Drosophila melanogaster: one gene and its partners. The protein of the gene in region 3 interacts with the protein of the main gene of each other region in a pairwise test. Each region holds a gene or a part of one and is shown on either strand. Other genes may lie near its edges. The genes, in order: CG31365, RIC-3, CG11379 and CG4073.

Region 1 (7,732 bases), on a different chromosome or scaffold from region 3:
AACTTGGGCATCACCCTGTGCATCGAGTGCTCCGGAGTGCACAGAAGCCTGGGTGTGCACTACAGCAAGGTGCGTTCCCTGACGCTGGATGCCTGGGAGTCGGAGAACGTGAAGGTAATGATGGAGCTCGGCAACGAGGTGGTTAACCGCATCTATGAGGCACGCATCGGCGATGATTGTGGGCTCAAAAAGCCCACGGAGCAGTGCGAGATCGGAGTGCGCGAGGCTTGGATCAAGGCGAAGTACGTGGAGCGGCGGTTCGTCTGCGGTATGCCCAAACCGCAGGAGCTGCTGGCCAGCGAGACAGCCGAAGTGCTGAGCATAGACAGTGGCGGCGTGGTAGAGGACGGCGAGAGTGGAGGCAGTGGTATCGCTAAGCGAGCTACTCTGTCGCTGGGCGGCACGCGAAAGTGGGCGGTGAAGAAACTTCGACGAAGGCAGAAGCAGCGCTCGATCCCAAAAACGTTGAGCGATGATCCGAGCATCTATAACACAGCCAAAACCGGCGACGAGTTGGAAGATGACGATGATGATGAATCCATCAACATTCCCTCGATGTCACTAAGCATTTCACGCGACGATTTGCTTGTGATCGGCGATGACCTGGCTCTTGACAGACTAGAGACTCCCGGCATTCTGGGCAGCGATCAAGAGAGCACCGATGGCGAGTCAGATGCGGAGTCGCCAGAGGAACTGCCCTTCTCCCAGCTAGACGCCAATCAATTGCTGTACATGGCTTCGGTGGTGCACAATCTACCAGTGATGTGCATGGCCTTCGCATTGGGTGCCGACAAGATGTGGAAAAATCCCCAAGACCGGCAACGATCGTTTCTGCACCAGGCCGTCATTTCCGGCTCCGTGATGGCCTGCGAGTTTTTGCTACTAAACGGAGCCGCCATCGATGCTGTGGACGAGATGGGCTACAGCGCCCTGCACATATCAACGGCCAAGGGTCACATCGCCCAAGTGTATTTGCTGTTGAAGCATAAAGCTGCATACGACCTCTCCTCCAGTGACGGAAAGAAGGCTCTGGACATTGCAGTGGACCAGGAAAACGCAGACATTGTAACGCTGTGAGTAAGAAAGCAGAGCTTCAATCCGGCAGATACATAACCATTCTTGTTTCAGACTCCGATTGACACAACTGAATGACGAGATTGGACCCAACGACGAGTACAATGGCGAAGATGAGACGTACAAGAACGTAATGAAGGACTTCTCCAAGTTACCAGCCAGCCAGACGCGAGTTCTGCGCCAGCGGCACGACTCAAATACACTCGAATCGCAGCGCAGCTCGCTTACAAACTCCGACTAGCAGTGGCAGAAGGGCCGCAAGAGTTAGGACCTTACTGGATATTATGGAATAATTTGTTCCAATTATTAGGATAGCGTGATATTGGATTGTTATTGGCTTTATAACGCATTAACCAGGAATGTTAAACGGTTTCGACCTCTAAGGATGTCGTTGCGGGCTTGTTTCCCTTGGTAATCTCATTTGAAAAGCGCTTCCGATTATACAAGAAAATATTATTCATTGCATTTGGCATTCGAATGGCAGGCACGATCGTTCGTTTTCTCTTAGGCGCATTTTGAATCCGTTTTTGGCGATTAGCTTAAGTTTAAAGTATTCGTAGAGCAGTTGAGTTTATTAAAAATACGTATATTTGCCTATAAAATTGTACATCGTCTTATGTGGTATTTATTAAACGATATTGTAAAATGTACGTCTAGCTATATGTATCTTGTTACAGAGCTGTTCCAAATGTTCCGATTTGTATTTGTTTGCTAAACTGTTTAATGCTGCATGTTTCTAAATGTTTTAACGCTATCATGTTGATGATTTTTGGTGCCAACTGTTGTGAGCACTCTAGGTTCGCGAATAAAGTTGTAAAATATTCAGATCAATCAAAGTTGGTCTCTTCAGGTGTAAAACATGGTGGTCCAATCTGCGGTGTATTGGTAAAACATGTCCAGGGACTATTCTAGGCCACAGCTTGAAACTCGTTCGTCTCGGATATGTAGTCTGTGAGCTTGTTCTTCACCTTGTGCATTGTGGTTACATGTCTCTGGACCGCACTGCGATCGTTAAACTGACGGCCGCACTGTTTGCAGGAGAACATGACGCCAGCGTGGGTGACCAGATGGCGACTGAGGCCCGAAACATGATTGAAGCTACGATGACACAGATGACACTTGTGCGTCCGAGAGTTGCCCATATGCACGCGGCCAATGTGCTGCTGCAGGTTGGACTTCTGGGCAAAGCAGCTCGAGCATTGGGGGCACTGATGGCGCTTTACTCCCGTATGGGTGTCCATGTGACGCTTGAGCACTTCGCGCTGGGAGAAGGACAGTTCGCACTCGCTGCACTTGAAGGGTTTCAGGCCCGTGTGGATAATCATGTGGCGTTTGAGCGAGCTGGCGCACGACAGTTGCAGTGCGCAGCTGGGACACTTGAGCGTGCCGCCCTTTCCACTTTTCAGTCCCTTAATGTGGGTGTTGTGGTGGCGCGTCAGAAGTTTCTGCGTAGGAAATGCCACCGGGCACAAATGGCACTGGAACGACTTCACCGTGTCCGTAATTCGACCGGTTTTTGGTTGAGGACAACTGGACTCCTGCTTGAACACCAACTCACTCGATCTCTTTCGTTTGAGGGGCGTCTGCTCATCTCTATCGTTCTGTTCTTTTTCCTACAGATAATAAGATCCAAGTTGAATTCGAGTTCAATTTAAAATCACACGGTTAGTTACCACTATAATGACATTTTCATGGAAGCTGAAGACCTGTTGCTCCTGAGATATCTCCTCGCCCAGATTAAACACGACCACGTCTTCGATTTCCTCTGGCTTTTCGCCACTGAACTGAATTTCGCCGTCTTCTTTGACTAAGCAAAGAATTTAATGAAATGAAAATTTTTTCACATTTTTTTTGCCAAATTATACCCACTTACTGTTATAGGAGGTGATTCCGTTGTCCTGGTCAAATTCGGGAGTGGAGTCCTGGTTTTGATCCTCTGAGCTGGCAGAGTTTATGATGTAAATCTCTCCATTGTCTGTGTGCACTACATCTGATCCAACCATGTTGATTTCCCTGAAGTCTTCACCGCTTTCCGCGGGCACTTCCTCGTCCAGTTCGAGGCCATCTATGTTTACATCGCTATTATTTGCGGGGTCGGTATTGCAGCCCAATATGAATTCCTCTTCTTTTGCATCCTTCCTGGCCTCTGTCGCCTTTAGATTGGCGTCGACCAAGCTGGGTCGTCGCTTTGGAAGAGCTTTAGTTTTTGACCTAGAAGGGGAGGCATCTTCCTTGACTTGCGGCTTGGTCTCTGGTTCGGACCCATCCAAAGACTCCCACCGACCGGCCTTTTTCTCGGTAAGATACACCTCCAATTCGCCCAACAGCATGGCCAGCTGCTCTTTTCTTATGTCCTCGCTCACCTCGTTTCGCAGGTCATCTCTAACCTGGCTGCGCACCTCCTCGGCCAGCTCCTTGCGAACCTCACTGCGCACCTCCTCCGCTAGTTCCTTGCGCAGTTCGGTGGTCAGTTTCGCTCGAAGTTCTAGACGAGATTTGACCAGCCGTTTGTGCATTTCCGCCGCCTGTTCTTCCTTAAAATCTTCTCGCCACTTTTCGTCCTCAAGCTTGCGCACTTTGTCCTGCACCTCGATGAAGGCAATAGAGTCCTCGAACTCCAGCTCGTCCTCGTCATAATCGTCCGGATCCTTGGAGAAGACGCGGCTTCGCTTCCCGAGACCCAGAAGTCGGATATGCTTGCGAAGCTTCTTCTCCGCCCATTGGCAGCGCTGCCGGAACAGGAATGACTTCTCCAGCTGATAGCGGCACTCCTGGCAGATCCTCTTCGGCAGAGTATCCGTCGCCTTGGCGTCCAGTGCGACGCAGGCCATCAGGCGCACGGGTATCGAGAGCTGGGTGTCGTCCTCGTCGAAGATCGCGTACGCATCCTGGTGCTCCTTGAGGCAAAGGCGGCACAGGGTCGCCAAATCGGGATACGACGGCTGTGCATCCATGAAGGCGTCTATTTTTGGTAAATCAACGTATTTACTCGGTGGCGTCTCTGCATCGCAAGCAATGTGACCGCAGACAGGTTCGCTAAAAATACCTCCTCTCGAAACGAAAGCAATACAGTCACACTGTTCGTAAATAAACAATTTGATATATACGGCCCATAAACGTATCATAACTTAATTTATTAATGTAAGGTTTAAAGGTATTGATTTTCATACAAATCCAATGCATACCGAATGTGCATATTTAAAGTTTAATAGAATACAATGACAATTAAAATAGGTGATGGCTTAGTCAAATATGCGTGCACAAAAAAAGGTACTATTCTTATAATATAGAGGATTAAACTAAATTCGTTGTTACGTGGCTACGTCACGGTGTTATTTAGCTTATCCGCTCCTCTTAGACGACAGCGCACACAACTTTTGAAATCGGCGTACGAACTGCTGCATTTTGTCTTGAAGGAACTGTGCTTTCGGCACAGGTTATCGGTCGTCTGCTTGGGGCTCATAAAGCGCACTTTCTTTCGACACGGCGATGGGGTTTTTACATCCTCTAAGGCAGTTGTGTTGGCACCCAGAAAGGTGTCCTTGCTATAGTCGTTGCGCAGATGACTCAGCTGCGGGTCGTTCATGTTGATCTCAACCATGGGCACAGCAACTAGTGGCGTTGCAGCTGGCTGTCTGCTGGCTTCTGGTTCATCGTCTATTACATTTGAGAAATATATAAGTCGTGCAATTGCAAAGTAAGTGGGCTGGTCTTACCCAGTAACTCCACCACGCTGTTATCGCTCTGCTCCCTTAGCTCCTGGCCCATGTCTGTTTCGTAGAAGCCAGCGGTCTGTTCGTCAGGCAGCGGACTGCTTAAGTTCATCTTCATCTCATAGGTCGCCTCATTGCGCTTGCGCACAAAGTACCGTTCCAGTTCGACAAACACGTCGTCCAGAACGCTCAGTCGCAACTGCTGCTTGGCTTCGGGTATGATGACCTCTTCGAGTTCCGCCCGCAGCTCCAGCTCGATTTCCGCCCGCACAGCTTGCTTGCAAGTGCTGAGCAGCTCCTTTTTATACGCGTCGATCTCGCTGCTAATGAGCTGGGCGGCCTGCTGGCGCCACTGGGCATTGTTCTCGGCGCAGCCAGTTTGCGTGCATCCTTCCCCGGAGCCCCGCTCCTCCTCCACTTCACTCAGCTGCGACTTGACACCCTGCCGCTGCAACGCCTTGTGGCGCCTCAATTTGCGATCGGCTGCGAGGCAGCGTCGTCGGAAGCAGTGCATCTCCTCCAGTTGCAGCCGACACATGGTGCATATGTGCTGTGGCAGACCGTCGCCGGGCTCGATCTCCAGCGATGTGCAGACCATTATCTGCAGAGCAGTCGATCCATTTGCACCGAAAACGGGGAAATTGGGTTCCTTCGACAAGCACAGGCGACAAACATTCATGTTGAATTTCAAGGCAATTCGGAGCGTGGCAGCCGGACACCTGATTAGGCACGATTCGGAATGATGGACAATCTAGCAATCTTTCCAAGCAACCAGTTTAGAATATGAAACAAAAAAACATTTGAAGACAAATAACTAAAATTGGAAGCGGAGGAATTTCCTACTAGGAAACATCAACAAGTCTAGCCGATTTGTTATCGATATTTTCAGTGTGGCCATGCGGTTGAGAGAATGCATTTTAGTATTTCAAGGCTGGCTGCTCTGCCATTGATGTGCCCGTATTTCAGCAAGGCGCTTGGCGGGAGAATTTCAAATAGTCAAAATTTTACAACGATACTATAGCGCTCATTTGAATAACCTGAAATGCAGCAATAACACACATTCATTTATCAAACAATTTCTTTATATTTCATTAAATATTAAGTATAAATACGCAGTTAACTATTAAGTATTATATACACAATTACAATAAGATATTCAGTCACTATAATGCTTCTTCTATATACAAAGTACGATATATATTATATCAAAGGGCTTGAACTCGCCGCCGCACCTCAATAAATTATGCAATTCAATTCCATGATAATATACAGTAACAGTCGTCTGTGTTCTCCGGGAGTTTGCCGATTGATTTTCTCAGGATGATTTAGGATCTGCGCCGAGGATTGCCTACTTACAGCTAAAATGTTTGCAAAAACAATAAGTCAAGGACATTTAACAGTGTTTTCATTTCGTTTCGCATCGTTTTGATTTCATACTCATTTGCTCTTTGCTTTATCGCTTGGGTGGGGTGTTTTGTGTGTGGGTTTTTGATTTGTGGTGGTAAATAAATAGTATCGATCGATTATTAACGATATTCAACATTGAAATACATCAATCATTAGGCATATACATAACTACAGGATATAATACAATACAGGATCGTTGGGATCAGGATCGCTCTTCCAGGATTCCATCTCAATCGTGGCGCCAGCTCTGCGGCAGAACGTAGTCCTTGACCTTGTAGAGCGCATTGGCATACCAATGGATGCCATTCTGCTGCTGCGCCGAGCTCACCACCTTCGGCGAACTGTGCAACTGCTCCTTGGCGGGCAGCCACGCCTCCAGCGTGGACAGCAGGCGCATGGGAGCCAGTCCCCAGTGGGCCAGCGACTGGCTGTTGATCACCGCATAGCAACTGGCGGCCACCGAGTTGACCACAATGGTGCCCTCGCGGGTCAGCGGCGCGACCACGCCCTTACTGCGCACACTGCCCACCTTGACGACTCGCTGGGGCCTCAGCTCGCCCGTCTCCACATCCCGTACGAGCACCTGGTTCTTCTCCTCGATGCGATCCGCAAACACAAACGTGAGCTTCTGGCTCTCCGGCTGCCAAACGCTAACCAGGTGAGCCGGCGTCACCGTGAGCACTGCTCCACCGTCCGTGTGCAGCTGCACAAAGTTTTGCATCTGCTCGAGGTTGCGGTCCATGAAGAGGATCACTTCGCTGTAGACGGCCTGTCCGTTGGCGGTCATGCTCAAAACACGATCTCCGATAGAGAGCTCGCCGAGCGGCTTCCGGACTCCACTCTCCAGCAGCGCTGTGCTCTCCGGCGTGAAGCAGCCGTGCACGTGGGAACTGATCGACGAATCTGCAAGTAGGAGAGGAAAGAATTTGGTTAGAAAATTGGATTTTAAATAAATATAAGGTGCTATTTAAATATTCATAGAAAGTTATAATAAATATTCGTATCCAGAGTAGTTACACGATTACTTTAAAGGCTTGCATGGGTGTTCATGTATTTTACACAATCTAAAATCTGATCTGCAGATTGCTTGTTTGGTTACTGAGAGCCGCCCAGGTAATGGCATTAGTTTGCTAATCTAATTTGGCGTTAAGCATCCAATTGCCAAGCCCAACAAGTCAAAAAGGTTTTCACAGATCCGGGGCTGGCCCGTTGCAGCCCAATGTGAAACAATGGACTCGAAAGGACTGAAAGGACTGCCTTTTGCGGCTCGCCAACAAGCCAGGAACCTAATGCGATCGTTGAACAGAGATCCGAGATCGGAGATCAGCAATCTGCGATCTGCCAGGCATATCAATAACAAGCGGTCGACGTGTTTTTGTTTCGGCTTGCACAAAAATTGTGATCTTGTTTTCCCTGCAAGATTAGCCGTGGGATCAGCATCAGCCGCATGCGAAGCCGAACTCGAGCCAAAGCCGCTTAGAAATCCCAAGGAAAAAGAAATGCAAAGGAATAAAATGAGTAGAACAAAAAAGGGGGAT
Region 2 (10,712 bases), on a different chromosome or scaffold from region 3:
TATCTGATCTCAGATATACTGCACAACTGCACTGTTAAAGTTGCGAATGCTTCGTTCTTCCGTAAATCGTATGTATATATGTTTATCAAAGCATACACATTGAAATATCCCCTATTATTTAGTGTGGAAAAACAATTGTTGGACATCTTTGATAACCTGCATAACTACTACTTGAACATCGAGAGTAGATTGAAAGCTGAGGGCTTTAAATCCAGAGTCTGCAATGTTATCCGCACATGGGAGGAATGGACCATTTATCCCAAGGATTTTATGGCCCAGCTGACGGCCAAATTCTTGGGCAAACCTGTTAGTTAATGAAATTCATTTCAAATTGTGCATGTAGTCTAATGGAATCTTGTGTTTAGTACGTCAAGCCAGTCAATAACTCACCTCAAGCCGAGGAAACGCGATTTGATGAGGCTCTGGACGAAGATATCGACGGTGCGCCCCTTTCCGGAGAGGAAAAGGACGACGAGGATCTAGACGGAGTGCCACTAGATGGAGCTGCTTTGCTTAAGAGCGCCTTGAAGCGAGCCATACCTGATGCAGATGCTGGTACTCCAAAGCGTGACACACCTAAGAAAGATGAATACCTCGATGAAATCGATGGCATACCATGTAAGCATAAGAAAGTGATTTAAACCTTCTTACTACTAAGTAAATAATCCTTAATTCCAGTGGATGATGATCTCGACGGTGTACCGTTGGAAAAAGAAACCAAATCTACGGCTAAGTTGCCTGGCTTCATACCCTCAAAGTGGGAGACAGTTGATCCCCAGCAAGTAGAAGCGCAGGCGATTACCACCAGCAAATGGGACACTCTCGATCCGCCAGATCCACCGAAGTTCTTTAGCTCGGACGACGACAGTGGAGAAGACAATCCGCAAAAGTACACCGACGAGATGCGTCAGAAGTTAAGAGACATTGAGTCGAAAGCAATTCAGTACCAGGACGAACTGGAGTCCGGAAAGCGCCGCCTGGAACCAGGTTGGAGTGTCCCCGAACAAGTGGAACAATTCCGGAAGCGATTACTTAAACAGGTAAGATTTGTAACATACAGTAAGTCGGATGTAACAACTGAATTCTTTGCGAACGAACAGGACTCGCGATCTGAGGCAACTGTAGACTCCCCGCTCAGCTACATGCACATAAAATCCAAGAGCTCCAAGGTGAGTGAGAGTCCAGCGCTGTTCAGAAGCAGTTCCCGCAAACGATCCCACTCGCCGTTCTCTGGTGGCGAATCCAAACGACGTGACTATTCACCCGAAACCTCGCGCTCATCCAAATCCTCGAAACGCAATCGGTCGCGTAGTCCGTCCAGTTCACCGAAGCGGTATACAGAGCGGTCGTCTCGCAGCTCCCGCTACGAAACTCCTGCCTCCGGATCGTCGCGATCACGCAGTTCTCCAACCTCCTCGCGCTCCTCTCGCAGAGAAGAGCCATCGCCGCCGAGACATCGCAGCGACAAGCACAAGCACAAACATAGGCACTAGAGTGTCTGCTCTTCGGACGATTTGTATTTAATTAAACATGGATTCTACATAAAAACACTTTCGTCGTTTGTTTTAAATACACAGTATATATAATTTTAAATCTAAATCGTTTGTTAGGAAGTGGGACACACGCAAAACAGACGGCCCAGGCAGTTCGATTCCGCTCTGCGAATTTGTCTAAAAACATGAATCTAAGCAAGCTATCTTAAAATGGTTACGTTTTGTTAAGGAAAGCCGGCCAACCAACACCAGTCCTCGAACCGCCTGAGCCTGGTCATATAAGCAGTGGTGATTATCATAAGGTGAATACATAGATGTGGCTTAAAAGTAGATGCGAACAGCCTCCTCGGCATTCTGCTCCACGGGGCAGTAGGGGCACTTCAGTATGTGGCCAACACTCAGCTTGTGCAGGGCGTCGTTGGATATGACATGACCGCAGGTCAACTTCTTCGGCGGATTGTCCTCGGAAGTCTGCTGGCGCAATATGGGGCAGGCAAAGATCGAGTGGAATCGGAATTCCGGCTGCAGATCGATCTCAATGGGCAACTCGTCGCAGCCGTTCCACATGCCAAGGACTTGGCGCGACTGCATCACCTGCTTGATATTGAGCAAGGCGGGCAGGGCAGTGCATCCGGCATTGACCACAACAGACAGGGCGGAGTTCTTGCTAATGCCTAGCAGTTGGCATGCGTCTTTGAGGAATATGAACGACAGTTCGGTCCACTTCTCCTGGCCCAAGAAGTGCTTGTAAGGCGAGTTCTCCAGTCCACTGGGCAGATATATAAAGCTGGCCATCAAGTTGGCTATTTCGTGCTCATAGCGCACAGCAAACTTCTTGAAGTTCAGTCGAGCGTAGGAGATGGCCTCGCGCTGCGAGTCCAATCCGTAGGAGACCAGCTGCATGAAACGCATGCGGTGCAGCCGGAACTCTATGAGCGAGTGGCGGTCACTCAGCTGCTGGGAGTACATCTTTGCCCACTTGAGGGCGTCAGTCAGATCCCGCTTTTGGATCTTCACCCAAATGCCGTAGATGTCGGCAAACTCGCGCTCCGAGTCGAACACATCCTGGGCATGCTCCGGCGACATCTTGCACTCGCGGATTAGCGTGCGAGCCACATCGTCCATGCCCTGGCGACAATAATGCTTGGCAATGGCCTTGTTCAGCAACATCAGGTTCTCCTCGTCCTGCAGCACGTCCACTCGCATGGTGGACGAGAAGTCGGCGCTAAAGTTGCGGTCAATGGCCTTGCCGATCTTCGAAATGGAGCCGTGCAGATCGCGGTGCTCCGTGGACAGTTTTTGCACGCGCTCGTGGCACCTGGCGAGAGCATTCCGGACGCTCTCCACTTGGCGCTCGGTTAGGCGTTGTGGTGCCGTCGGTTCCGTCTCCACCTGCATGCTCACCGCATCGCCCATGGGATCGTCCTGGGACACCTGGGTGCTCGAGTTCAGAGTGGTCACCAGCTGCTCCGCCCTGCTGAGAACCTCTACCAGCTCCGACATCTGTGTGGCTATATCTCCGATGTCCGCCTCTGCGTTCTCGTGAAGCTGCTCCAGTTTGCTGACCACTCGGGTCAGGTCCTTCTCCACCGACGAACAGGCCAACGACTCGCTGTCCATTGTTAGCTCCAGTTTCGTGGGGTGAAAGCCTAGAAACCAGTCACGCCAGGCGCGCGTTCACTTTCGATTTTACAACCTTTTGCTTTCGAGGATTGATAGCACTGTGATTCTTCAAAGTCACGACGATATTCGGTGGTCCAGCGGAAAATGCGTATTTATAAATTGTTAATTTTATAACACAAAGAAGACGAAAACATTGGAGCTGGGTGGACCACTCACGATGCTATCGATAAATCGAATAATTTTAATTTCGATAAAGGGCAACAGTGCTGAGCGAATTAATATTTGTATATTCCGCATTTTACGTATTACCGTTATATTGGATCCTTAGTTGATCCTTAGTTATATATAGTTAGTCTAGTTTAACATCATAATAATGCATAATAAAGTAACCATTTTACGAACCAAATATATATTTGACCTTTATATATTAATAATAATGTGATTCCATTTAAAACAATTACAAATATACAAAAATTTATTAAATCCCATAAGCCTTCTATCAGTGTAAAGGATCCGTTAACTTTAAACGATAGAAAAGTATCGATAGCACTCGCATGCATCGATTGACAGCCAATGCTGCCCATCTCCGTTCGGTCGACTGAAAAATCAATTATTATTGCTGCTGCTTTCTGGCAGAGAAACTTATAACGACAAACAAACAGTTTGAAATTAGCGTAATTAGATAAGAAAACGAACTTTGAAACCAAAGGTGTTAGTCTTTAAAAACGAAACTGATAATTATTTAAAAGGTACCTCAGAACACGAGAGCAATTCCAAGGACAAAATCTCCACACTTTGAATTCATAATTTTTAAAAATAAGTGATGAGTCTTAAGCCGAACGGCATTGAACCCAAATTACAAATGCTGTGCCTCCAAAAATAAAAGCGCAGAGAGCTCGAAAAACGTTTTCCAAATTAATGTAGACAGTGACAAGAAGAGGGAAATTTTTAAAATAAAAGTGGTGGAAATAAGAAGATGCTGTGCAAATAACAGACGTGCATAGTAAAAACAATTTTACTTTCGCCACTTTTCAGTCAGTGCGCTTGAAAGCGAAATGGAAAACGGTCGGAAAACTCATAGCACTTGGCAGTGTGTGTGTGCGTGTGTGATAACAAGAGCGAAGAAGCTGCGAAATGAAAAATATGAAAACACGAAATTTCGCACACAGTGCTGGTCAGCAAAACAGCAGCAATAGCTCAAAAAATTAAATTTAAAATTATATTATAAAATTTTTTTGCTGAAATATTTCAAATTAAGTTTGCCCAATTTCCCAAGCAGTTATATGTATTTTGATTTAAAATCTATTTCCGAAATGAATTAGAGAGCATTAATGTTATGTCGGCTGCTGTAGCGTAGCTCTCGGAAATTCCCGGTGCAGGCCCAAGCTGCAAATCACTTGTCTCATCAAAAATAAAGGAAAATAATGGCCGACGACGATTATGGGGAAAAGCGCGCCCGAATGGTGTGTCGGGTCTTCAGATCTGATCTGCCGAAAATTCGCTAATAGTTTCAAAAATTTGCCTGGCCAGTTCGGGAACAACATTCGAACTTTGCGTAAGCAGTCGCTCTGTCCAGTTTTCTGTTTTCATTTTTTTTCGAACCCTTGGTCGTTCAAAAACCGTTTTCCAAAAGCGATACGAAAGCATTTTCTTTTGGAGAAACGTTCAATATTATTTATGCGGTCGTTAATTGTGATTTGTGCGGTGGGAAAAGTGAAAATAATAAAGAATTATTAGACGGGCCGAAAAGAGCGAATTGCGCGAGCTAAAAATAAAAAAGATCGGGACCGCTATTTATGTAATAAACTTTTTTGTTTTCCCGCAACAATATTCAAACGTATACAGCATTTTGCGCTGCGATTCGTGACCGATCAGTGATGTGAATACAACTCCAACGAAAGCCGGAATCAGCGAACTGTAGCGTGTAACCGATTATGCATCTATGTATCTTTCAGATAATGCTTTAAACGTACAGCAAATCAACCATTAGCCAGCCAAAATGAGCCAATGCCAAAGTTAAACAGCAACTAGAAACACAGCGCATAGTCAACAGCTCGCAGGGAGCCATCAACGAACCAAATCGATCAGGAACACATAGCAGAGTTGCCTTAGGGACTAGCTTTAACCACGAACCCATAGCCAAACGAATCCAGATAGCCCACGGAATCCGCTACCAAGCCAAAATGCCCGCTACAGCCACATCCAAGCCGAGAGCTCCGCTCGTCGAGGAGGGCATGACGCCCAAGAAGACCGCCCTGATCATCGTAACCGTGATCGGATGCATTGCCATCCTGTGGCCAAAGGTCTTCCATCCCATGATGTTCGGAGGAGTGCCTCCAAGCCAGCCAAACTTCAAGGATCCACGAGCAGCACCAGGCGGTAAGTCATCAGATTCTATTCACCACATTAGGAGCTAGGGCTTATAAATGTTGTACTTTACTTAATTTCATTTATCATTTATTATTTATGAATTATCATCATGATTTTCTTTTGATTTCCGTATGTGGGTGTTGTTGTTGTCCGGTCGATGTTGTAGGATGTTGTGATGTCGTCCTGGACAGGGAGCAGTTTCTGAATGCCACGAAGAAGGACACTGTCGAGCCCTTCGGTCCGCATTTGTATCGCAAGCAAATCAATGTTTACACGGGCGAAATAAGTATGTGGCTCGATTATTTATAATTTGCTTATTGGTTTTACTAACGGTGTTTGGCTCTACTAACAAGATTGTATCTACATGAAACAATCGATTGAGATACATTTAGATTCCTAACCTTTACGGTATTAATGAGTTTATTAATGTTTGGGTTTCTAAAATGTAGTGTTTATGTCAATTAAAAATTTGATAGTTTAATTGTGTTACTAATGAATCCATTGTGGTCGCAGGTCTGCGCCAGGAGCGTCCCGCCCACCTGCATCCGGAATCCATATACCAGGCCATGAGGGAGCGGGGTCGCGCCATTCCCGCCACGCCCACCGTGCCGATTCTAGAACGAAAGACTTCGCCCAGTAATCCGCCTCCGCGGATTGTCGACGGACGGGTGAGTTGGGCTACTATACATTTAACCATACGGTGTGCATTATTCTCCGGACGATAAATCCATAATTATAATATATATAGTTATACTGGTCGGCGGGCTGTGGTCGATGTGATTATAATGACGGCGGGATGAGACATATCCGCGCTCGCGTTGGAAGTCATTTATAAATAGCCAAACGTTTATTTTATTCGGATTCGGGTTTTGTTTTTATGACACTGCACGCAAATTGAAGGCAAGAGACAGCGCTAAAGAAAACACAAAAAAAGAATTTGTAAATGATGAGTGGGAGATCGGCCGAATGTGCTGCTGCGTATTGAACTTGTGCCAAATTCAGTGCGCCAGTTCCATTTTGCTCTCATCGCTACTAGAATGCTAGAATGGCCGGGGAGCACAAATCAGCTGTCCTCGCCTCATGTCAAAATACAACGGGGCGGATACGTAATTTTAATGATTACATGGGTTGTCAATAAAACACAATCGATTCCCTTCTCCTACAAAGACATCAATTCAAAAGATTTCGAAGACAACTGTCTTGAGTAATCTTTATGTCAATATACATCGCGGCGGATACGTAATTTTTATGATTACATAGGACAATAGAATATACATATTCGATCAGTTCAAAAATATCTAAAGACAATTGACTTAAGAAACCACCGGGGCGTATACCTGATACATTTAATATGACCTTGATTGTTGGCGGCATTCTATTGTATTTCAGTAACTTTTGACATATGTATGTACTTTCTAGCCTGGACCCATTCCTGGAATGCGTCCACCCATGGGCGCCGGTGCACTGCATCAGCCACAACAGCGGGGCAGCAGCATGGGCTTCCTAATGCCACTCTACACCATTGGCATCGTAGTCTTCTTCGGCTACACCCTAATGAAGGTGACTCTCTTTGATCGTATATATGTAATTATAATACTATAAAACTCTTACATGCAGATTATGTTCAAGAAGCAAGTTCCCAATGATCCGTACGGAGCGGCGCCTCCAAATCCTGCCTTCCGGCAGGAGGTCTTCGGATCACAGAACCACAGCCAGGTGGAGGATTTGGGCGGCAGCAAACTGGGTGAGTGCCAGGCCAATTCGGATGCCATCTTCCGGATTATTACACTCGTAGTTGGACACACACACACACAATCGCTCTAGCCACCGCACTCACGATTCAATCCTAACCGAAAAAAAATCGCATTTTGTACTCTTCTGCTTCCAAAAAAACCCATGCACACCGAAAATCATGCCACGGTATCAGGCTGGCGAGAGCATCAGACAAGTAAGCCAGATATATATAGATGGTTGCATAGATGACCATAGAGTTTCGTTCGTATCTTGAGTTTCTAGACCTCGACAAAGGCCTTTTGAGTTTTGAAATATGTCCTCCTCATTTGGTATCGTAGTATCGTAGCGACTATGTGTTCTATTTCATTTACCTAGATGTACTCATTCTAGATGTTGTGTGCCTATATACTATTTATAAATATATATATATACTAACCCCGAATTGATCACGCTTCCATGGATATATACATTTATTTTGTTGCCACTCCTGCACCCGTGTAAATACTCCTTAGTTTCGTTAGTCCCTCGATTGATTCGATTTCCGGCCCTGATTACCAAACCGTACGACAATTTTATAGGAGCTGCCACCGCCACTGCCGCCGCAAAGAAGCCGGCCGCCAAGGACACCGAAAAGGAGCTGTACAACGCCAGTGTGTCGGCCACCGAGGTGGCGAGCAGTTTGTCCGCCTCTCTGAAGAGCCACCAGCAGCTGAAGGAGGCCGAGCAGCTGATGGAGATCGAGAAGCTGCGCCAGAAACTCGAGAGCACGGAGCGGGCGATGGCCCAGTTGGTGGCCGAAATGAACACCGATCAGTATGAGGCAAAGGTTAGCATCCAGCATCCAGTATCCAGTAGCTTCCTACCATCGTCATCGAATCGGAAAAAAGCAGATACAGATACAGATATAGCTATACAACGCGACTCAGATACATCTAGTAGCACATCATATATCGTAGTGATTTCAGTTGGACCATCTCGCTGTCATTTGAATTAATATTTGATCTCTTTTGTGTTCTCATTTTCAAGATGATTGCCCTCAAGTTTCTCAAGCGGCAGCCAAACTTCTAAGACAATAATAACCATCATTCAGTTCACATAGAATCAGTCAGTAAAACAGACCAAAATCAGACCAACAACAACTCAGATCACAACTAAGTACAACGAACAAAGTCAACTAGATTATTTCTGTTTTCAATTGGTTTCTAGTGAATAGCTGAATCCTCGGAATGGTTTCTTTTACCCCCCTGCCACATCCTCCCCCCCAAAAAAAGCCTTCAGTTCTAAAACTATGTCACTCTGTCCTTAATCTTCAAGTCTAACAAGTGCATGGAACGGAATTCTCCCGACTCTGTTTCTAATTTAACCTGCTTGTCTGCTGTCGGCATGCGATATATGCATATATATATATATATATAAACATATCTTTTCACATACTCGTATCTACTAACGAACCCAGTCTAAATGTGTTTGCATCTCACTGAGTACTCTCGATCTGAACTAAACTAAACTCTTATGATGGGGACATATTTTACGATTCAAAGCAGTCTTATTCGAAATCTATTCGAACACTATACGTAACTTTACATTGCCAATAAAGATAATCGCAAACATCATTTCATACTCAGAGCTACAAAGAAACAACTATATAAATATTCACTCTCTGTGTCGTTTCTACGTTTTTCATGTTTCTCGCAAAAACACAAAAAAAAAAATGAATGTAAATCCCAAATTGATACCCTGTACTTTCATGGGGCTAGTTGTTACGGCCATACAAGGTTTGATAGACGCGGCCGACGAGCAATTGAATGGCCAAGACAAGCAGAGGGCGACGAGCGACACTGAAACTGATTCGAATAAGGTTAGAGACCTTCAAAGGGTCCGGCACGGCAATCCTTGAACATATAATTTGTAACAAGAACTTAATCTTTTTGTTTATTAACCAAGATCCTTCGACTAATTGAGTTTTGTTGCGTTTCACCTAACCACAACGAATTGAAGTAATTAATGCGTTCGATTTCTGATTTCTTGCGTTTTGAGGCTGTATAGAATTGCTTAGCTCTCACATTCTACTGACTGTTTCGAGAGTGTCCTCTCTAACCGTATTATATCCTGTGTATCCTGTGCAGAAAAACGACAACGAAAAAACGAGGGAGCAACCACTAGACAAGCAGAACCTATCCAATGGACATGCAAGCAGCACCGACCAAAATCCGGAGCAGGAGACCGTGGCGAAGGGAGCCAGGAAACGGCGGGATCTAAGCGCTGAACAGGAACTGACGGTATGCCATTATATACCCTGTATAGCACCTTTGAGTACGTAGATCTTTGCCGTAAATAATCGAATATTGGTGCAGGTACTCGGCATGGAGTTAACAGCCAGTTGCGAGGGCGGCCACAAGTGGACTGGACGCCCTCCAACGCCTGTTTTCCGAGCGCCAAGCGAACATGTAAGTGCCACTGACGCACAGACCCCCCACCACTTTCAAGTTCTCAACTTAACTAGACTAGTTTCGACTAACTGCTACCCTAACGCTTTCAATATATCCCTACAAAAAAAAGTGATTAAACTGGGATGTTTCCTACGCTCTCAACCTCCTCTGCGCATATGTGTTGAAGCTTTTAAATATGTATATCAGAAATACTAAATAGAATCCCTCTTCGATTTCAGTCCAAATTGGAAGACAACTTGCCGGAGCCGCAGTCCATTTACTTGGAAGGCGCTTTGGCCCATGAGTCCCAGATTTTGGTTGCCGACTCCCAGATCAAACGCGAAGAAGTCTACGACTCGGAGCTCAATGGCTCAGCCGAGGAACCAGCCGTATGGATAAGCCATTCTACTAAACTATATCAATTAATTAACTTAATTAACTTGCAGATCATTCTTAGCAGCAGAATGACATTGTCATTGATTAATTTGGACGCAAATCAACAAAATGGAAATGCAGGCAAATCCGCAGTGGAAAGTCCTCTGGCTGATGACATCGAAATAATTGGACACGACGAGCAGTAGATCGATTTTTATATATATATAATTTGGCAATGAACACGACTTGATTCAGACGAAACTAACTAATTGCAAGGGCCGAGTGAAATTTCGTTGCTAATTTCGTTGAACGACGAACATTATGACTGATTGCCACGAAACAGATTTGCCAATAATTTGATATCTGATTTGTATATATATACATATTGTATGTTTTGATATCTTCGTTTTGATTTTAAAACGCCAACGTTGTGTCTACTCCCTCTAAAGTAAACCTTAAAACTTTATGCTCTTGAAAACCTTAATCATTTTCGGTCAAAACTTAAAGCCAAACTTGCATGTCTAGAAAACTCTTTAGCTCGTTTAGAAAACCGCGTCTTTGTGAACTGCATGATTTTGTGTGAATACTCTTAGTTGAAAGTCAATGCAAAACTAGTCTACCATTAAGCTAAGCGCATATGTATTTCAAGCCGCATCGTCTAATCAAAATCCGTAGCTACTTGGCAATG
Region 3 (6,593 bases):
ACAGTCTAGATACGATAACGTCTGGATTTCATTTGTGTTTATTTGGGTTTCGTTAGGTTGGTTTGTTGGGTCTTCTTAGCACGGCGGTGTTTGGGTTGGTGTGAAAACGAAACGAAAGGTGGAAGGCCGCTGAAGAACGACACCAGTGACTCAGATAAAAGGGAGTTATGTAAATTGAATGGGAAGCAAACTGTTTTGCCATATGTGCTATATACTGTCCATTATACTGCTGCTTTTTCCATTATATTAATCGCGGCTCTTGAATTATGGGAAAACCAATTTCTAAAATCACAAGATGGTCGGGTAGGTTGTACTCGTATCGTATTGTGTAACATTTCAAGGTGGAAAGGCTTAGATTGAATTGAGTGGGATATAGACTTGCATAAAATAATCACAGGCTCACTTTACATATATACATATAAGGCTTTATTCCGGAAGAGAAAAAGAGGCTCGAACGTTGCGAGACTTTGGCGGTAGCTGACATCCTATGACCTGGTCCGCAGATACACATGTGGACTATTGACGGAGGCGTCATGGCCTCCGGTCAGTCCCAACGAGGCGGCTGGCAAGTACTCGTTGAGATTAAGCGAGAACGAGGGCGGGAAGTGTTTGTCCTTGGCCTCGCGATTGATCCGATAGGTATTGCGGAAGGCGGCGGCTGGATTGATGGACCCACTGGCGTAACCCTGCAGAGCTGCGTAGTTGGGCGGCAGAGCACTCAAAACAGTGGCCGTTCGTCCTCCGAAGTCTGGCTGTGCGCCGGCGGAGATTGCAGGTTGAGATCCGCTGGCTGCTGCGGCAGCCGAGAGGTACGGCGAAATGGGCACTATGATCGGGCGGGTGGGTATCAGCTGAAGGTACTGAACCGAGTTTCCGGATCCATCCTGGATTGCCTGGGCCGGAAGATACTGCATGAGCATGGGAGTAGACGGTAAACTGGACACACTTGGTGTTCCCGCCGTTTGCATGGGCGTGAAGTTGGTCTCCATCTCGGGCATCTTGTACGAGGGCTTGAATGCCGGATCCGTTTGTGATGGAATCTGGCCCTGAAGCTGATTTTGGACTTGAGCCTGGTTCTGGGCCATGTCATAGCCACTGGCATAGGCACTCAGCGAGTTCAGGTGGGCCTCCTGTTGCTGTTGCTGCTGCTGTTGCACCTGTGGCAGGCCATTCGGGGACTTGGAACCCTTACTAGCTATCTCCGGACTCGAAACGGGGGAACCCTGAAGTAGGGGCATCACCAGGAGCTGCAGCAGGAACAGCTGGCAATGGATGTGAATGTGTCGGTGGCACAGCATCTACACGTAGCGAATAAGAGAAAAGTTAAGGGATCGTGTTCATGAAAAATATTTGCGATAATATATTTTACTTGTTAACCCAAAGGATATTATAAAATAACATTTTGCTGCTTATACCCGAAGCTGATTTTCAGGACGCGAAGTGCATCCGAAATGGAAAAATTGTATCGTAAGCTGCACTTGTAACTGAACTATATCTGCTATAGCAGCTTAGTTAATTCTGCAACACGAAGGTCAGATATTTTGGAACACCTTTCGATTTTATTATAAGCACAGAAAAAAAAAGTATGCGTATTTCACCTCGCTGAATTTTCTCTGCGATTTGAGTTTGAATGCTGCCTGGGAGCGTGGAAAACACTTGCACTTTTCCTGGCGAGCGACGCGCTTTGATTAACACGGCTGCATTGCCAGCCAGGCTTTTATATCGCTCGACGACCCGACCAATTTCCCGCAATTGGCAACAGGCTGCGGCTGCAGTTTTAACCAGTGCGAAACACGACAGCGCGCCAGCAAGCAACAGCATTTGGCTGGCACTGCCTTGGAAGCATTTCAGCGGCATTGTTGCGTGTGCCAGGCTCTTGCATGTCGCTAGTTGCAAGTTGCAAGTTGCTAGTTGCCAGTTGCTATTTGCTAGTTGCCAGTTGCTGTTTGCCGTCGTGGTGTCCATCGCTTTTGGCTACGCTTCAAGTTCAAGTTTACAGCCATCGATCGCGCATCAGAGTAATGGTTTCGTTTTCGCTTTCGATCGACTTGCTTTGCTTTACTTTGAGCCGCTGGGTTCCGTCTTCCGAATCCGAAACCGAAACCGAATCGGTTGTTTGGGGGCGTGTCGCTTTTGGATCTCGGATCGGTCCTCTTCCGCATTGCATATGGGTACGGCTACGGCTAACGAGTTTACAAGTCTTTTTCGGGGGGATGACAGCCCCCAGTGGTTGGCAGTTTGGCCGGTAGTTGTCCGCTTCAAATTGGCTTCATGGATTCGGTCAGAAAGTGGTCTTGCGATTTAATATATGTTCGATTTTTGAGTTTATTTTTTTCTTAAAGAAGCTAAAAGAAACTACGCTTTGAATCGAAATTTACTATTATGGTTATTCATAATTCAATTTATGATGCAGCCCGTTGTGTCCCACTGTGCCTATTAAAACGCTTTTAGTATAATTTGAACCATAAATTTAGCTATTGACTGAGGTAGTGTGATATGGCTGTGGAAGTGGAATGGTCACCCCTCCGTCTCAATTGGCAAAGCTCTGTGCGCTTCCCTGGGATTGGGTCTGCATTGGAGTGCCGGGCTCGAGACTTCCGAAGATCAGCGCGGAGCAGCGGCGATGAAGGGTGCGACGCCAGTCGAGCATCCCGCAGCGGAGCTTCTGGGGCAACGCGGTGGCCCATAGGGAAAGCCACAGAAGACATGCGCCGATCAGGCCGGTAGTCAGGCCCAAAGTCCAGTACTCGCAGACCAGGAAGGTTTGCTCCTCGACGGCCAAGGCCTGGAGTATGCCCACAATGGCGCACTGGCAGAGGGACTCTATGCGATGCCACAGTTTGCTAAGGGTCAGATCCAGCACCAAACAGCAGACGCCTGTCTCCAGTAAGAGCGATGCCCAGGACGACTCATTGCCGCGAAGGTTTCGATTCCCATTCCTGAACCGCTGATCGGCGGGCAGGGCACTTGAAAACATCCTCACCCCGTGAAGAAGGGTCACCACGCAGGCGGAAAAGAGCCAGGCGCCCAAGAGAGGAGCAGCGGAGCCGGGAGATTCGCGAAAGTAGTAGTAGTACGAGATGCCCAGTACCGAGTGAAGCAACACCGCCATGATCAAGGCCATTAGTCGAGCCATCTCCAGATGTCCTCCTAGGTGTACACTTCCAGTTTTACGGGAGTAAATTCGGGTCAGAAAGCCTTAAACTGAATTATTCAACTGACTTTTAAAGCAGCAGTCACTACTTGGTTAACTCCGAACACTTGTGTACAAGTATTCCTTGTTATTTTAAGAAGTGATACAAAAAGCAAGTTGTAAACTCTGTTAAAGTTTTTAAAGGCAATATTTAATATATTCGATGTTATCTTTTCAATTTATAATTTATATATTATGATTTATACAGCATTCTTGCGTGGCAGAATACCCCATCGGTAATGGCATAGGTTTCCTCTTTGTGTAATCACAGTCACTGTCTGCGTCACAGTTGAAGTCACAGACACCGCGCCAATTGCAATTATCACCACAAGTCAAACAGGCTCAGATGTCAAGGCCTTGTTTTCCTCATTTTCAGTGGGCTCATTACGTGAGGCAAGTGGAAATGGGAAATGTGCTCGATAGTAGTCAGCTTACTTTCATTTTTGTTTCGGCCAAAGCTTTGCGGCTCCAACTTTTGGACTTTAAAGCTTGAGCATGATCATGGAGAAACTCATAGATAAGCTCTTCCAGATCTTTATATGTACAATAATATATATGTACGTCTGGTAAACCAAGATGATTTATAAAATGATTAGGCTGGTTGGCATGGAATAAAATTTCTTGCATGCACTTGCTCCGCACTGTTCTCTGCCGACATGACGTCCCAATCCTGGTGATGCTGCTCCGCTTGCTCTGTCAGCAAGTCATAAATCTTCGGCTTCAACTGAACTTGATACATCAAAATGTTGGTCAAATTAAATTTCTTGCGCCTCGTCCTTTCCCGCACAGCTCGCCCCCGCCCCGCCCGCTGCTCCTTGATTCTCCCAGGGATTTCACTAGGAGCAGCTGCCAAGTAATTCGTCAAGCTGCTTTGTCCTCCTCCAGCGGCTGTTCTTATCTCATCTCTGGGTGAGCATTGTTGCTCCGCTCCTCTGTGCTGTGCTGTGCTGTTCTGTACTGTTCATCTGTCTGACTCCACCACCTACCAATCTACCTACCGACCTACCACCCCCATCCCTGTATCCCTGTATCGCCCCGTTTTGGCTGGCTTTCATGTCAACTGCATTTTTCTTTTGCTGTGTTGCTTGTTGTGTGCTGTGCGCTTTTTCACTGCTTTAAACCACTTAATGGGTTTTTTTTATGTGGACCTGGGTTAGATGGAAAAGCGCAAGGAGTGGGAGGCGGCCTGGCGGTGCCTCGGGGCTATTCATGCTGCAGCTTTCTTGTAGCTTCATTCACAAAGACTTGCAATTCATCAAATCTCGTTAGCCTCGGCTTTTATAGAAAATCTGCAGCTGCTTTTGCTTCTGCTTTTCTTTTCGGGGTTTCGGGGGGCTGTGCTCCTCTCATTCATCTGCCACGCCCACGGACACGGAGTGGGCGTGGCCGAAGCTTCAGCACCGATTCGAATCCCCGTCCGCATCCGCTTTACCATTTCCAAACGGCATCCTATCCTCTGGGATCCTCTGTCATTATTGACTGGCAACGACTTTAAGGCAACTTTTGTTCCGCTCCCATGCGCTTAACTTTAAGGGCTTTACCTTCTCCACCTGAGCTGAGCTCCGATCCATGCTTCTTCCTTTGAGCTAATGAAAAGTGTGTGTCTCCCAAAATGGAGTGGAATCCTTGCAGCTGCAGCTTGCATCATCAGGCTCTCCCAGCGAATAGCTCGTCTAAATAAAAGTAAACCAAAGCTCTGCCAAGGAGCAACAATAAACGAGTTGGCCAATGCATTTTTAATGCAACCAACCACCCAACCACCTGTACAAATCCGTTAGGGAGGAATGGGGATGCTCTCGAGGTTCTCTAGGTAGCCTCAAAAATGTTTCCAGAATTGGGGCACATGTTGCCACCACATTGCGATTAAATGACCCTTTTGTGCTTCCTTCACAACAATTTTCTGGGATCAGCACTATGATTCGGCAACACTGAGAGGTGTGGAACATGTGGGTAAATAGAAATTTGTAAATACGAAGAAAATCAGTTATTCAACACTGGTCTGGTGTGGGACCAACACTGTTCGCATAATATATGCATTTGACTCACCTAGCAAACAACGCGCTACCAATACTGTTTTGTCTGTTAGCCAAGTGATGGCAAAGCATTTGCGCCGCACTTTGGCTAAGTGGGAGAAGGCGAGCACTTCGAGCTGGGAAGCAGCTGCTCCTGGGCACCTCCAGCCTGCCACCAACTCAGCCTGCTTCTTCATTTGCTCCCTCTTGGCAAAGAGCCCCATATCACGCACAGGCAAACATTGCAAGGACCCCAAATGCATTCAATTAACAATTTCTCCGGCCCTAGACCTGGCACACAACTTTGCTGGCTGCTGGAACTGGGAACTAAAAAAGTGGGAACAGGAGGCGGTGGTGGCTTTTAATCAAAAACTTGCATTTGCCAAGTGGCAGGGCAACTTTTTGGGCCAAGTTTGTGCGGCGCCAGAAGTGGGTAAACTTCTCCAAATTGTGACGTCGACAAAAGTCAAATCGTGCCGACTCGCAGCACCCTGAAGGCCTCACATGTTCATGACGCTGCACGATTGCAATCAGGGGAATGTGTTTTGGGGTGCGGAATTAAAAGATACCGTATTAGAAGTACCATGATGCAATAATATAAATTAATATATATTTTTTTATATCAACCCGCCCGCTTCCCGCTTCCAACAATATTGTATCTACATATGATCCAGATTATTTCTAATGACCTATGCATATGCGAGTGATTTACGAGTAAATACAGTTGTTGCTTGCATGCGCGTGAATTAGGGCTTCATTTATGAATCATAATGCAATCATTGATTACGATTCGTTACGCGTTGTGGCAGCAACCATTCTGGACGTTGTCAGTCAGCAAGTGAATGCCGTAAATTGCCAGGAGGGGACTATAGACAGACTCTGTGGAAATTCGAAGCATTGCTGAGAAATGAGCGTAACCGAAGCCAAACACCCGCATGGAGCAAATGGAGCTCCACCTTCAGGCCATCCCCACTCGTTTTCCCTTCTGTTTGCCTCGCCCACTCCATTTGAAAAGTACTTTTAAAGGACGAGGACGTGGAGGGGTTGGGATGGAGGATGGAGGATGGCTGGCGGGCTCGTGCCATTTAGCAAAAGTAATTAAGCGTCAATGCGTTTCATTTGTGTTACTTTTCTGGGCAATTACGGCGCAAAGTTTGCAGTTTTGAAGTAGTGCGGCGCAAAATGTTCATTGTTAAAGCCAGACCGACTCACCAGACGACGAAAAAGATTTTATTCCGCCGCGCGAGAATCGATCGCAAAAAGTGGATACTTGGTGTTTGATATTGCGTCAACAGGTGAGCCCAGCGTCCTGGACCGACAGACTGAACTGTCGACTGCTATCAGCGTTTTCTACTCCATCATCATTATGGTAACCGTCATTGGGGCTC
Region 4 (6,326 bases), on a different chromosome or scaffold from region 3:
AAATGCATTTTTTCTATTCTTAGTAACAGTGTAGTCTAGTTATATTCAAAGTAAAAATATTTTTGAAGTGTTATCATAAATGATATTTCATTTCAAAATTTAAGCTCAGATGACAGATAACTTTTTTTCATTCACACTTTTTAAAATGGCCCCTTATTATCACAGATAATTATTTAGTGAATGCCTGTTTACGCTTTTCAAGTGACACATTAAGTGGTGCTTTCAAACTAAATGAAAAACAACTTGGTCTTCTAGATAGAAATTAATGTTTAGTTCTTTCATCTTAATGAACTTAACTCGTTGCAAACGGATGATAGAAGGGGCTCAACAAAGGAGAAAAGAAAAGGAACCATAGTTATTTGCACCATTGTTTTCTTTGACATGTTGTCAACAATTCCAGGACTTGTTAAAACGCCGCTGAGCACTTAACGCTTGAAAGGCTCACATAAAAATAGGTGGACCATCTGCCTTTTAGCTTGAATATTTTCTATGTCCGGAAATTTTTTTATTTTCTGTACATTGGAAATAATAGTTCTAGAAGTTCCTGGTACAATTCACACAGTCCTTATGAATGTAGAACTGGTTTGAAATTACTTGGAAAAGGACAAGGACAATTCCCAGCTGCTTCTTGTTCTTCGGAAAGGGCTTAATATGGACAAAAAAAAAATATGTTGGACGTAGTTAAAGAAAACCTTAAGAGGGAAACGAAAACTGAAAAAATCATAATGAAGAAGTGAAAATACAATGAGTTTCGCTATTCCTTTGAGAAAAAATTCATTACATAGGAAATTTATATATTAATTATAGCTATGATGTCATTCATATTGCATCATCATTTGTTTAAAAGTAATTTATTGTCTATTAATTATGTAAAAATTTAAAGGGGCGGATTCCTATGCACCTTACTCCCGTTCTTATACAGTAATTTCGAAGGATAACTGCTTAAACAAACGTTTGCGATTAACATGCGTTAAGTACACAATTTCAGTTACATATGCATAAATAAGCATTTAAATGCGCCATGCCCCCCATGCGTAAATAATTTAATTGCATGCGAGTCGTCTCGAGTGTTGGCATACAAAATAAATTGCAATTAATACTCGATACGAAATCAACAGCCAGAACAGGTGCTAAAAGTTGCCTTTAATCATATTGTTAAATGTGGAAGCCCGTGTCGTGGCACATCACGTATACGCAATGTGGTGCAGAAGGCAACAGCATTTAAGCCAGAAAGTCACGAAAAGGGAAGGGAAGAACAGGAGAGGCGTGAAAATCTGAAAGAGCTGGAAAACCGGCAATAGCAACAGCTACAGAAACTCATCCAGATGTAACTCCCTGCTTTGTCGCCTGAAATCGTGCTTTGTCCTTCGCTCCGTTCATCTGGCTTCTTGAATGGCTCAGTCGGCGGCATTTATGGAAGTCTTGGTTTTTGCCTCGGCCTTAGGCAGCTCCTACCATCGTTGCTAAATATTTATTAGCCCTCTGATTTATTTGTTCAATTGCATGTCGCACGGTTGGAGGGCCACGGTATGATTTTGATGTAGGTACGTGCCACATAAGGCATATTTAATGTCTTCCCCCACCGAATGGTGTTTTAAATTTAAAATTTTTGCCGTAGGTAAGTGCTTTACAGGGCTTAAACATTCGTTTCTATATTTACCGCAAATGTCCTGCTTTATTTAGAAATACGATTTTAAATAATTAACCCTCTTTGAGCACACTTGCCCGGCTCACATGTCTCTAATAATTTCCTTCCCATGAATACTTAATACGTAGCCCTATTATTAACTTTCAAGGCTAAAGATTTGACAAATGTAAGCTGACACCCCTGATTAGATAGGGGGAATGCTTAGTGCTTATTAATAGAATGCAAGTATCTATTAAGTATTATTGTTGCTCAAATGCACAAGGATCTGCCAGTTCAATCAATCAAACAGACATTATTGATGGCACTTCATATTTCGAGCCATTGTCATGACAACCTCAGATGGACGTTTTAATTGGTTGGATAAGTAAATTACATTTACATTTTACATCAATTTTCTGCGGCATTAACAAGGTTGGTTTTTCAATGAAAGCATAAATAAAACATAAATTAATAGATCGAAATGGGAAATGTACGTATTGATACTAATTTATATAGCTGTCACATATGTATTCTTAAATGTATTTGCCTAAGGATAAATTCAATTCTTCCGCTTCAATAAATCTGTTGTACAGTTCACAGCTAAATTCAACTCATTCGAGCGTCAATAAAATCCGATTGTCCTTCTAATTGGATTTACTATGACTTCCTTACGGCACTTTGCCGTAATTTGCCATTTGTTCGTGTTGTGGTTTTCCTGGCTATTGGCACTGTCAGTTTAAATCTCTTAAAAGTTATTGTTGCTCTGAGTGGCAGGCCGATTGATAGGCATTTGTAGGATTTTTAATGCCAAAGCTTATTATGACAGCAAACTGGGGTAATAATATCGAGAATGCCCAAATTTCCTGATGCTGACATTTGTGTAAGCACGGTTTTAGATAAATACGCATATTGTCATCGATTATTGAGGATTAGAGAGCAGGCGAACAAAGCGCGATAATCTCTGACTCAATAACATATTCTAAAGAAAGCTAGGTAATAAGACACCACTTGGTTTCCTCTCCTCCAGGCAAGTTTTTTGCCCGACTCATGTTTATTTAATTCCTGACTTTGTTGTTTGGCTTTAGGCTGTGTTTGCCAATGTTTCTGCACGTGCTGGCTTTTCAGCGGCAGAGTCTAATTAAAATTCAGTAAAAGCCTCAGCCACAAAATGGCCCAAAAAGTTGGCCCTCAGCGCACACAGTTCGCCAGAGCTGAATACATATGTAAACACATCATCAGGTGCAAGGTGGGCCATCTTAATGAGTCTAGTGACAACGCAGCACGTGTCATTGATTAGCACTTCAGTTCTGGCCAGCATAATTCCCATTTAATATGCATGAGTATGCATATACTGCGCAGTGGTTTCATTAACAGAATTATACATCCAATCGATTCGTTATTCCATCACATATCAACACTAAAAAGTATCAATCATTTAACTGTATTAGTTTCAGTAGAAAAATTCCAATCGTTTATTTCAGTAGATCTAAATTGTAACATAACACTTTTTGCCCACAGTACACCCACCGCCTTGTTAATCAAATATATTCATATTTAATATACATGTTCATAGCACCCAGCAGGTTCCCACAACGGGGGTGGTGGTATCAACGCGCAGAAAGATGAGCAGGCCAAATCCCACGCCACGTTCATCGACGGGTCTACGCAAACCGACTGGTCAAAGATCAACACCTCCACCCAGGCCACCACCTCATGTTCCCGCTCCTGCTCCACCACCGCATGAGCCTGCGAAACCATATGGAGAATCCCCGGGCCTGCTGAGCCCGGTCGCATCGTCGGGTCCTTTGCGCCAACGCTCTTCTGTGCACCTGAGGAAGAAACACCTCGGTTGGGTCTACTTGATCCACGCGGTTCTATCGGCAAGTGCAGTAATTCAGCTTGTGGTCCTGCGGCTCTGCAATAAGGACTTCGGGGAGCTAATTAGCCCATCGGTGCCCAGCTTCGTGTGGCTGCTCCTGGCCGTGGGATGTGTGCTGATCATGGCCTACGTGTACCTGGCCAACCAGTGTCCGTGCAATGGTCTGCTGGCCATTGTCATCGTGGAGGTGATAGTGATATTTGTGAATTGCCACCGGTGGGCTCGTCTATCGATGCTCTGGATGACTGGTGTCCTGTCACTCGTGCTGGCCCTGAACGTCATGCTCTACTTGATGGGCGTCTATCTGCCGCTGAAAATACTGCCCGGTAGCATCTTCATGATCGTCCTCACATTCTGTTGCATAGCGATTGTCGTTTCGATCTACTTGATTGTGTATCTAAACGGCAATCGCTATATAATGCGATACGTCTCGATGGTCAGTCTGATCTACGTGGCTAGTCTCATCCTCTTCACCATCACCGTTATCCACCAGCGAAGATTCGAGCATACGGATCGCACCGAATATGTCCTGCAGGCCACCGTTCTGGCCATGCTGTTCGTCTATATGATTCACCCACTCTCAACTATGGTGCGATTTGGGCAGTTTTTGGTGGACCATGTATAATATAAAATTGTTGGAAGTGTATCATCATCTCTAATATAGTCTTAAGAAATGTAATATTGCCCAAATTCCTATATATACATATATATTGTAGCTTATTAGGTGGCTTTATTATTGTTAGTTTTAACTGGTTAACTAATAGCAGCAGGCTTATACAGTTCCGTCATGCTTTTATAGTTCCGTAATTTTTTACAAATTTATTCTTATTTGCTGACGTGTGCAGTTGTTTTGACCAACATTGGCAAGCCTTTAGGCCGCCGGGTTCAGTTCGGAATCCGGTTATCGAACTCTCATCCAGAAGGATGTTTGCATGTGTATTCATGAAGTGTGTATGGGTGTAGTTGCTCTTAGCGACAAGATCCTTTTTGTGGCCATTTCGTGTTTTATCTAAGTCCTTCTAGCCGATTACACAGACAGCCGGACAAAGGGAAACGGAAAGGACCCGCGGCAGAAATGAAAATAAATAATACCCGGGCCCAGCCATATTTTTATGAATTTTTCCATCTTAGCCCTTTGCAGTGCAAGGATATTTTTGGATTTGCCTTCGTTTGTTCACTTCAATAATTCTGAAATCATCCATATCCTCTCCTAGGGCCACTCAAAGTTGTATTTTCAGTTTGGGTTCAACTTATGTTAATTTTATAAATTCCATTTCCGTTGAATCGCTTTTAACTCTTTAAAAATAGTTTTCCACCAGCAGTGGCAGCAGCAGCAGGATAATGGCCTCCAGAGGGGCTATTTTCACAGACGAGAGTTTTAGTTGTTTACTGAACCACAAGTTGGACATTAAAATGCAGTCCAAGGGCAATGTTTTTTTTTGCCGGTTGTGGATGTAAAACAGTGCGGGCTTCTGTGAGTCCAAAACATGCATAGTATTTGTATAAAAGGTCTCGAAATTGTTTTGAAATAAAATGCTGTTTGTCTGCGACTGGTTTTTCATTGCCAGTGTTTAAATTTAATGCATAAAGTTAGTTAAATTTAAAATGTGGTTTAAGTGTATAATACTCTTAAGGGTTAAAATTCCTTGGTTTATATTCACCAATTAATTAAACAAAAACATCGTCCTTTTATGGTAAGCTTATTATTCATTATAAGTCATGAAAATAGATTGCCCAAGGTGGACATAAAAAGTTAGGTCAATGATTAACTTGACATCAACATGGTCGTTATAATCATCAAAGCAATGTGCTCCATGAGCTCAAATTAATCATTCAGCTGCAATGAATTCTTTGTCTCGAACCTTTGTTCTGCACATGTGACATCTGTGAAATTCCGTACATTTCGGTTCAAAAACCCATTTTCTCCGCTCCATTATGCAAAAAGTTTTTTTTTGCGGCTGTTCCTTGTGTCTCCGAATAACGAGAAGCGAATCAGCCGAGACATCAAATTAATTCATAAAATTGTCCATTTGTCCAACATATTGTGGCCAAGATGCCGGACGGATTTGGTCGGAATCTACGGCAATTAGTTTCACAAGTGCCGGACTCAACCATAGGGACCGTGTCAACCAGTGATGCGAACAGGTAATTTATAAAACATGCTAAAAGAACATGGTTATTGAGGACAGCCTCACTTTTATCCCACACATCGAAGCCAAAAGTCAAAAAATTATTTAAAAATCTTTAATATAACTTCATCCTGAAAAAAAAAATTTCCACACTAGTAGTGTTATGTTATGTTGCCAGATCCTCTGCTGCAGGATTTTTTTTCCCTATGACAACGCTTAGGATTCACCGCTAGAATGCCATGAAATCAACATTGCGATATAATAAGCCAACGGCAGGAAGATGAAGTATGGGTGCACAACTTGGATCCCAAGAGGCGGATGCCATAAAACGTGGAACACGTCAATAGTTTCCAGATGTCTGGCGAGGGCAGGACTTCGAGGAGGGGTGTTGTGCTCATGTCAAGTTATGGGTCTGGATGAATTGAAGAAAGTTGCCAACTATTCGACAAACGTCGGAACAGAATTCCTTGAGAAAGACGCAGTAGCTGATAGATGAAAGTTGAAAGCCACTTTCTCCCTGGGGGGCTTTAACTCCGCAGAGAAACTACTTTGACTTCAAAAAGTGTATCTTTAAATCATTTACATAAGTTATGGCAAGCTCCATAGTAAAATGTTTGCTTAATATTTTTAAAGAAAGTAGGCACACACCATATGAATCGCTTGGGGCTTGCTGTACCCACAAGTTCTTGGT

What was found.
Region 1: the proteins of CG11379 (region 3) and CG31365 interact in a two-hybrid assay, tested with the Drosophila melanogaster proteins (one large-scale study listed by BioGRID).
Region 2: the proteins of CG11379 (region 3) and RIC-3 interact in a two-hybrid assay, tested with the Drosophila melanogaster proteins (one large-scale study listed by BioGRID).
Region 4: the proteins of CG11379 (region 3) and CG4073 interact in a two-hybrid assay, tested with the Drosophila melanogaster proteins (one large-scale study listed by BioGRID).

Annotation. Positions count from the first base shown.
Region 1 is NT_033777.3:23,122,315-23,130,046, forward strand, and holds CG31365 (uncharacterized protein), read right to left. Parts: upstream 4,109-7,732; 5' UTR 4,029-4,108; coding exon 2,948-4,028; intron 2,882-2,947; coding exon 2,748-2,881; intron 2,688-2,747; coding exon 1,983-2,687; 3' UTR 1,648-1,982; downstream 1-1,647. Other genes in the region: CenB1A (centaurin beta 1A), read left to right, coding at 1-1,073, 1,129-1,315; CG31457 (uncharacterized protein), read right to left, coding at 4,394-4,731, 4,791-5,466; hh (hedgehog), read right to left, coding at 6,424-7,097.
Region 2 is NT_033778.4:21,014,088-21,024,799, forward strand, and holds the start of RIC-3 (RIC3 acetylcholine receptor chaperone), read left to right. Parts: upstream 1-3,696; 5' UTR 3,697-3,865; intron 3,866-4,057; exon of another isoform or gene 4,058-4,181; intron 4,182-4,644; exon of another isoform or gene 4,645-4,671; intron 4,672-4,975; exon of another isoform or gene 4,976-4,995; intron 4,996-5,071; 5' UTR 5,072-5,299; coding exon 5,300-5,495; intron 5,496-5,652; coding exon 5,653-5,772; intron 5,773-5,999; coding exon 6,000-6,154; intron 6,155-6,905; coding exon 6,906-7,046; intron 7,047-7,103; coding exon 7,104-7,230; intron 7,231-7,413; coding exon of another isoform or gene 7,414-7,434; intron 7,435-7,798; coding exon 7,799-8,046; intron 8,047-8,246; coding exon of another isoform or gene 8,247-8,288; exon of another isoform or gene 8,289-8,375; intron 8,376-8,977; coding exon of another isoform or gene 8,978-9,078; intron 9,079-9,346; coding exon 9,347-9,499; intron 9,500-9,574; coding exon 9,575-9,667; intron 9,668-9,888; coding exon 9,889-10,038; intron 10,039-10,095; coding exon 10,096-10,230; 3' UTR 10,231-10,712. Other genes in the region: CG9346 (uncharacterized protein), read left to right, coding at 1-68, 123-306, 366-618, 679-1,040, 1,101-1,493; Sou (souji), read right to left, coding at 1,815-3,113.
Region 3 is NC_004354.4:1,176,807-1,183,399, reverse strand, and holds CG11379 (uncharacterized protein), read right to left. Parts: upstream 3,236-6,593; 5' UTR 3,137-3,235; coding exon 2,531-3,136; 3' UTR 1,849-2,530; downstream 1-1,848. Other genes in the region: CG14627 (uncharacterized protein), read right to left, coding at 486-1,298.
Region 4 is NT_033777.3:10,711,682-10,718,007, forward strand, and holds CG4073 (uncharacterized protein), read left to right. Parts: upstream 1-3,116; 5' UTR 3,117-3,249; coding exon 3,250-4,131; 3' UTR 4,132-4,220; downstream 4,221-6,326.